2 linked regions of the Xenopus tropicalis genome follow. The protein of the gene in region 1 interacts with the protein of each later gene in a biochemical or structural test. Links are inferred from orthologs where the notes say so. Each region holds a gene or a part of one and is shown on either strand. Other genes may lie near its edges.

Region 1 (4,322 bases):
AAGGTGCAGTGCTGCTGGGTGGAAGATGGCAGTCCTGTAAATAATGTGCAAGCTAGTGGACATGACACGAACAGCTATTAATCTTACTATCTATATACTCCACATATGTAAGTACCAAAAGCTTTAGGCAAATTTGGAGTAATTGTAAAAGGTAGAAGATGCTCAAGTGCACAGTGAATAAGCTGGTGTAGGGACCCATAGGGTTAATCTGGCTTTAGAGCTTACCACTTCCTTATTTCTGCTGTTACTGGGCCATTTACTGTATTTAGTTTACCATTTACATATTGTGCCTATTGGTTTATTTGGTTGATCACACCCCTTGCACTCCAATATAGTGTTTAGCAAGGCAGTGTCTATAGTTCAACCTGACCTGTCTATAGTTCAACTGCAAGAACCTTCTGGCGTCCATCTTTGCTAGACTGCACTGCACACAGCTACAGTGAGTTGTAGTCCACTACACCCTTGCTCCGCATGGTCTCTTTTATATAGCGAAGGCCCATCCCGTGTGAGAGTTTCATGGTCCCCGTGCTCTAAAACCATACTAGCCTGGGTTTTGCCTATTTTATAGCCAAATAATGGTTACACTGGCTTAAATGTGCATTTTATTTATCTAGCAACTTTTATTAATATGGATGATATTAATCATCCTTAATTTCTGTCAGTGTAAATGCACAAAAAAAACAACATAAAAATTTTTTGATCATGGTCCTTTCAGAAGAAACCTGCTCCATAGAACTAAATTGGTGAGGATACCACGTCCATCCCAGCACAGTGAGTCTTTTGTAAGCATCACCAGAACCAGCTATGACCTTGCCTGTCTGAGAGGGCCCCGGATGCTGCTGTAATAATGCACAGTTGGTCATTTAAACAACCCCACCCCCCTCATTAAATACCTTATACATATCATAGTGTGTAATCTTTAGCTACATATATCTGTAACACACATTTTGTCTGTGACAAAATATTTAATATTTCGCTGCAAAGAGGAGCGTCACGTTTCTTTCAGGTGGTAGAGTCCAGTTCTCTACAAAGGGTAGTCTCTGTGATGTTTGAAGAGACTGCTTTCCGTGGTTCTTCCTTGTTTGCCTGTCATTTCCTCCCAGCAGCCTCTGATTCACAGAAAAGATAGCCGTGACTGCAGATTAAATCCGTTCTTCCCTCCTCCTATGTGTTTTTTTTCTTCTCCCCCACCCATCTCACCCCCTGAGACCTCTCTGTACTTTGACGTCATGCATGCTCCTTTTAGTTGCCATAGCGACTCCATTCCCTAAACCCCTCTTGCCTATCTCCTGTCGTAGCTTTCACAATGGTACAGGCAGCATCACTGTGCACAATGCTTTCCAGGCAGTGAAAGAAGGTGATTCAGCAAGCCCGTCTGTTCTTTTCCATCACTCCCTTTTTCACTTTCTATTTCTTTTTTTGTTTATTTTTATTATTAAAACATTATACAAAGAATTAAGTTAATTTCCTCCTATATTTATAAGAAATTTGTTTTTTATTCTTATTTCCTATACTACCCCATTCATGGGCATCGTTTAATCTAACCAATACACATGTATTTTGGAACGGGGTCAAAAAAAGCCACATAGAATTGCTATCTTTGGAGGAGCCACTGTGGATGTGAATTGTTGCAGTGCAGGCACGGAATGGTGAGTAGCCCTAGTCTCGGTATGCTGCTGTTATTAATGCAGGTTTATTCCTTTCTAAAAATACAATTACCATTGTTTTCTGTTTAAATTCTGGGAAGAATATTGTGTGTAAATTCTGAATATATTGGGTGCGGTGCTTGTATGGACTACTGCCAAATATATAAATGGTGGGAGGTTATTGCAAAAACCATATTCATGTCATAGGGCAGTGGGATTGACACAATGCCTAACTGGTTATGTTAATTCTCCTCTCAGTTCATGTAGCAGGATGAAGGGCCAGTGTAGAAGCAGTGAGTGCTAAAACAGTAGGTGCCAGGGTGCACTAATGCAGCCCTGTTCTGCTCCTCATATACAGGCTAAGGGGACTATATTTTGATTGCTGTGTCTATATGCCATCCACAACACACATACCTTTGTCTATGCATTGACAACAGGGAATGGAAAAAATGGCCTTACTGGAACATATAATCGAAACCTATTCTTACCATTTATATTTTAATAGATTATGCACAAAAAAGGTGTGATTAGGCTTTAATCATTTTTTTTAGCACTGTGATTCCAACAGAACCAGCTTTCCCTAAGCAGTTTTTAAAAAAAATAAATTAAGCAAGGTTTGTGTTCAAATACACATTTGTGGATACAGGTTTTGTTTAGAGCAAGCTCTAGCTGCTTTACAATTACAATTCCCATTATTCTCAGGTACCCTGTTTATGGAAGTTGCATTTCTAAAGACCATACATTAGAAGCCTAATTAATGACTAAAGTCCTAAAGATCCTAAATATTACCAATTATACTTTCCTATGTGTTTTATTAATGGTTTCGATCATTTGCTAGAAACTATGTATGTAAAAGGTACATTTTTCAGCAGGATAATTATTTATAGCTTAGTCAGCGTTTTGAAATATTTGGGCTTTGGAAAACTCTAAATAAGTTACTAAAATAATTTCTTTTGTAGTTTATAGTATAGCATGTAGACAAAAGATTGCTTGCGCAGAGTTTGCTTTTATATATTCCAGATTTTCTGGAATTGTGTAAGCATGGCTGCTCTGCAGTATCAGTTCTCTGTGGTTTTTCTTTGGTAAACAAGGTTAGAGGCTTAAAACCATTGCTGTATGGGATCTCTATTAAAATGCAAGTAAAAACAGTATTTGATGTTTTATATAGACTTGTGAACTTAGTATGAGTAGGAAAATGTTAATGAATTACATGAGTAAGCTTTACATTTTGCAGGTTTGCACTGGTAATTATTAGACAAAATGCATTGTTGTGCAGGCCTTTCCTGTAGCTGGTTTTGGTACAGAAGACCGTTAGCTGCAGTGATTTGACAGTTCAGCTTTATGTGAAGAGTGCAGCATTAACTATCCACATACTTCATTACTATGGCTTTGTATTCTCTGCAGCACACAGTGAAATGCCAAAAAAGTGCTGACCTCAATAAACCTCTAAGCTGTTCTCATTTATTTTCCCTCAAGTAAACATGCTGCAGCTGCCTATTGCTGCTATTTACAGATTTTTTTCCCTCAAAGACACCAGTAAATCTATGTATTGTGTGTTAATTTCTCTCAAGATAGAACACAGTCTTGTTTTATTTCATGTAGTTCAGGTTTTAGAATAAAATGAAGATAGGAACCTTTTTTTACCCACATGAATATATCCTGGTGTATGCTTGGTGCAGATCTGCACTGTACTGTTGTAGCTGAAACAGCAGCCATTCATTATGATAGTGCTTTCATTTTTTCTAGGCAGCCTAATTTTTCGATAGCCCTTCCTCTGTCTTTTCCTTTCCTCTTATTAAAATGTTAATCTGCAGAGCTCCCAGTGAAAATGACAGCTGCCAAAATGTAATGGCAATGCCATTGTTGTTCCCATTGCTTGCATGAGGATTCTGCTGCAACCTCAGCAGCGTGACAAATGTGTCTGGACTTGGCACTTTCATGGAACGAATCTGCACAGCCATGTACAGTATGGTTATTCATTCCTTAGAAGATTATCCCCCCCCCATTGTTTTGTTTTGACAGCAAAAATGCATCCAGATACAAGTGAAATATTAGTCCATTTAAAATTCAGTGCATTAAAATGTCAGTCTGACTCACATTTTTCCCAGTGGAAATAAGTACTTGAATATAAAAGAACAGAAATGGATTTGATGGGGCCTAAGTGAACTTTGACACCTGAGCCTTATGCAGAAAGCTTACATATTCCATAGACTCAAAAGCTCAGTGTACGACCAATATATACTGAAATCTATTGACAATTTCTTGCTTACAGGATGACTCTGGGTGTGGGCAGTGTCTTTTGTAATGTATTCGTATTGTTGCCAAACTGGCTGGTATGTCATCAAAGGGTTTCCAAAGCACTGAACCAAAGAAATGCTTTTCTTGCTGGCTATGGGCTTCAAAAGGGAAAAACAACACAAAATCTTTATATATATATATATAATATTTGTCCATAAAGATGCCGGCACTCACGTCTACTAGGAAGGTACAGCATCCTGGGTACAGGTCCAAGTAGATTAGAAGATGCAGCAAGAAGAGGATCCGCACTGAGAGGACTTATGAAGAAAAAATGGTATTTATTCAAGCAGACTGACGTTTCGTCTAACATACTAGCCGCTAGTGTGTTAGCCAAAATGTCAGTCTGCTTGAATAAACAACATTTTTTCTTCATAAGTC
Region 2 (3,826 bases), on another chromosome or scaffold:
AAAAAACTATTGCTCTGTGAGTCTGCAACTTATTTGTTATTGCTACTTTTTATTACTTGTTTTTCTATTTCTAGTCTCTCAATCAAACCACGCTGAAATTCCAGACTGGAAAGTTATTGAACAAAAAACAAAATAATTACACAACTACATATAATGAAAAATGAGGACCAATTGCAAAGTGTTTCATAATATTACTCTCTAAATCAGGGTTCCCCAACCTTTTTTACCGGTGAACCGCAGTAAAATTATGAGAATCAATCAATCAATCATTGAGAATCATGGTACCATTGTGACTGGATCATACCTTCTTACACCTGTCAGTTTCAGCCAACAGCTAACTGAATAAGTTTAATGGAACCATTAAGATTGGATGCCTGTGACTTTACTACCCTCAAGGGTTTAAATGCACCTGGATGAATAAGAATCTTCATAGACACACAGTCAAAATGTAAAAAAATTTGGAGAGCAACACAAGCATCATAAAAGTTCATGGAGGTGCCAAATACGGGCTAAGATTGGCTATTAGGCAGCCTCTATGCACACTAACAGCTTACAGGGGGCTTTATTTGGTAGTAAATCTTGTTTTTATTCAACCAAAACTTGCCATTAAGCCAGGAATTCAAAAACAACTACCTGGTTTGGAGGAACTGAGAGCAACATCCAAGAGTCCCACCTGCGTTTGGCACTTTCATGGACCAGTGTGAGTACGGGCATATTGAGAAGAATAGGGTGCGTTCCTTCCTGCGCTCCCCTGTGGTAGAATGCAGAGGAATGCACTCCAGGGAAAAGCAGAAAGGGACGCTTGAGGGTACAAGCCTTAACTCAGAGGTGGACTCCCACTAAAAGTGGACAATCACTGGTTCGGTTTTATTTTTGGAAATGATGGGAGATGGACTTCCATGTGAAAGAGTCTGATTTGTGTTGAAAAACATGCATTGTTGCTTTCATTTTGCTGAATAAGATGCAATTGCATCAGGCACTTTGCCCCCTTGTGACTGAAATTACACTGGAATTCTGGGCAAAACCCCTATTTCTGCAGAAAAAACTTGAAGATTGAGCTCGAAATTGCACTTTGGCAGAGTGTAAGATCCCCAGGAAAATCCTCTTCTATGATCCAAAGCCTTCACTAACGTTCCATTGTTTAGCATGATTAGAGCTTTACTAACACAAAAATCCATCTTTTTTCCTTTTGCAGAGCCTCCAGGGAGCACCCTTCAGTCCAGGAGAAGAAGAAGTCAACCATTTGGCAATTGTAGGTTTGCCTGTACTTGTATTTCCATCATACACTTTGACAGATAGATCAGGCAGCCTTTGACTGGGTGCCATTTATAAGTTCCTTACTATCCCTGATATTGTCTTTATCACAATGTATTTGACCCAACAAATTCACTGTATATTAAGTCAAGCTTGGCATGTTGAGTGCACAGATTAACTCTCAGTCATTTTCTATGAATTGAGATATTGGCAATAAGAGGTTTCTGTTATATCATCACATCAGTTGCCCAGGAAGATCTTAACTGTCTATGACCACAAATGAACCACTAATATAGAATGCACAGTGGCTCCTCATAGCTGTGTAATGTTGCCTATTTTCTTTCAGCTTCAGCAGGCTTTTCAGCTCTTCATCCAGCCCACCACCTCCCAAGAGGACTTACCCATCTGTCAATATCCACTACAAGTCTCCCACGCCTGCGGGATTCAGCCAGCGCCGCAGCCACACCATGTGCCAGATCTCCTCTGGGGGGCGCACCATTGAGTTCTTCCCAGATGAGTAAGTCAAGCATTGTGCTTGAAAGAGTGTACAAAGACACAACATAAAACTATAAATAAATTCTGATTATTAAGTATTTTTTAGTTGTGTAGAAAATCCATGGCTTTGGTTGTTCACGACTAGTCAATGATGATAGGTGAATGCATATTAATGTTTTTCCAATGTCTTGATGTTTCCATCTATTGGTAGAGGCAGGTGCAGACTGGGATTCAAAATAGGCCCTGGCATTCCAAGCACTGTTTGGGCCTTCATGTGTTACCAGCCCAATAAATAGTGACTGTCTATGGCTACTTACAGCAGCCCCTTTGGCATTTGCCATAACACACAGATTCCCAGTCCAGGCCTGGGTAGAGGTGCCTGTCTAACACACTAATAACTACGTGTCCCACTGACTAGAATTTTTAGCCACAGGGTTACAAAAAAACTCCCAGGTTCTGGGACACATTGCACATTGTATCACATCCAGTTCGACAAATTGAATGAGATTCACCACTTCCTTGGATAGAATTAAATGTACCCCTGATTATGGTACATACAGCCCCCTCCTATGCTACCTTGCATTTGCCCTCCCCATGCTTGCCTTCTTGCTCACTAGATGCCTTTAACCCTTGCTGCTTTGCTTTCTGCTCTCTCCCCTGACGCTCTGCCGCATCTTTTTCTTTTCCCTTAGATTGAGGAGTAACACTGTAGCTTCTCTCCTCAGCGACTGCACATCTACGGCTCGCCGGGAGCAGAAGCGCGAGCAGTACCGCCAAGTGCGGGAGCATGTGCGCAATGACGATGGGCGCCTCCAAGCCTGTGGGTGGAGCCTACCTGCCAAATATAAGCAGGTTGGTAGCTCAAGGGATCATAGAATCTGTGAACTAGATTAGTGATTTCCCTGATCTATTTTATATATATTAAAACTATAGTTGATCTATAGTTGGGCCTTGTAAGTACAGGTATGGGACCTGTTATCCGAAATGCTTGGGACCTGGGGTTTCCTGGATAAGGGGTCTGTAATTTGGATCACCATACCGTGAATGAACCCCAATAGGATTGTTTTGCCTCCAATAAGTATGAATGAATCTTGGTTGAGATCAGGTACAAGATACTGTTTTATTATTATAGAGAAAAAGGAAATTATTTTGAATTATTTGATTAACATAACCAAATCAAATATGGGGGATGGCCTTCCCCTAATTCGGGTTTCCAGATAACCGATCCCATACCTATACATTATGTCTGTGTATGTACATAACTAGTTGTGTTTTTTACATCAATTTATTATGGTTGTGTCAAACATGGAGATTAATTGCATCGTATCTGCATCGTATTGCATTGTATCTCCCAAGAAAGAGTTCAGTAACAGAATTATATAAATATTAAATATTTTGCTTAGGAGAACCTAAATAAGTAAAAAAAACACACTCAAAAAAAGACCAACTGCAACTAACAGTTTTACATATTGATTTTATTCAAATAAATGTGTTAACTCTGACAGCTTAGTCCAAATGGAGGACAGGAGGATAACCGCATGAAGAATGTGCCAGTCCCAGTTTACTGCAGGCCACTGGTAGAGAAAGATCCCACCATGAAGGTAAGAATCTGCCAGTCCCCCGGGAGTACTTATTTCCTGTAAAGGCAAAGAGACAACACGTATATAATTACACAGCATTTTTAGTTATCTTGCTTTACACTGCAAAAAGCAATAACATATCAATAACAAAAACAAAATAATTGAGTGCTGTTGGCTCTCACACTGTTGTCCTTGAATTCTGTATCCGTGTCCATTGCGTGTTTATTTGGTATTTCTAAAAAATGTTTGCATTAAAGAGTTCCATTAGGGCCCTTTTCACCCAACCACAGCCCCTTGAAATGCAAGGCCACTGCCATTCTGACTACTCGTTAGGGAACGGTGACACAATCGGAGGGCTGTGGGTGGCAGTGTGTATGGCTGCTGATCATGAATAGCTTACTTTGTCAGTTTTTCTGTAGGATTAGCTCCAGCGAATGTCTATCCAGTGAATAAAATGATCACTAACAGATTACAGAGAGATTACAAGAGGCTTCATA

What was found.
Region 2: the proteins of mapk10 (region 1) and mapk8ip3 form a complex in vitro, tested with the Homo sapiens proteins (3 studies listed by BioGRID, with this or other methods). The link is inferred for Xenopus tropicalis from reciprocal best matches to the Homo sapiens genes MAPK10 and MAPK8IP3.

What each region holds. Positions count from the first base shown.
Region 1 is NC_030677.2:87,177,698-87,182,019, reverse strand, and holds the start of mapk10 (mitogen-activated protein kinase 10), read left to right. Parts: upstream 1-1,309; 5' UTR 1,310-1,646; coding exon of another isoform or gene 1,647-1,649; intron 1,650-4,322. UniProt on the Homo sapiens protein: Serine/threonine-protein kinase involved in various processes such as neuronal proliferation, differentiation, migration and programmed cell death.
Region 2 is NC_030685.2:22,605,825-22,609,650, forward strand, and holds part of mapk8ip3 (C-Jun-amino-terminal kinase-interacting protein 3), read left to right. Parts: intron 1-1,195; coding exon 1,196-1,252; intron 1,253-1,600; coding exon 1,601-1,771; intron 1,772-2,441; coding exon 2,442-2,601; intron 2,602-3,254; coding exon 3,255-3,350; intron 3,351-3,826.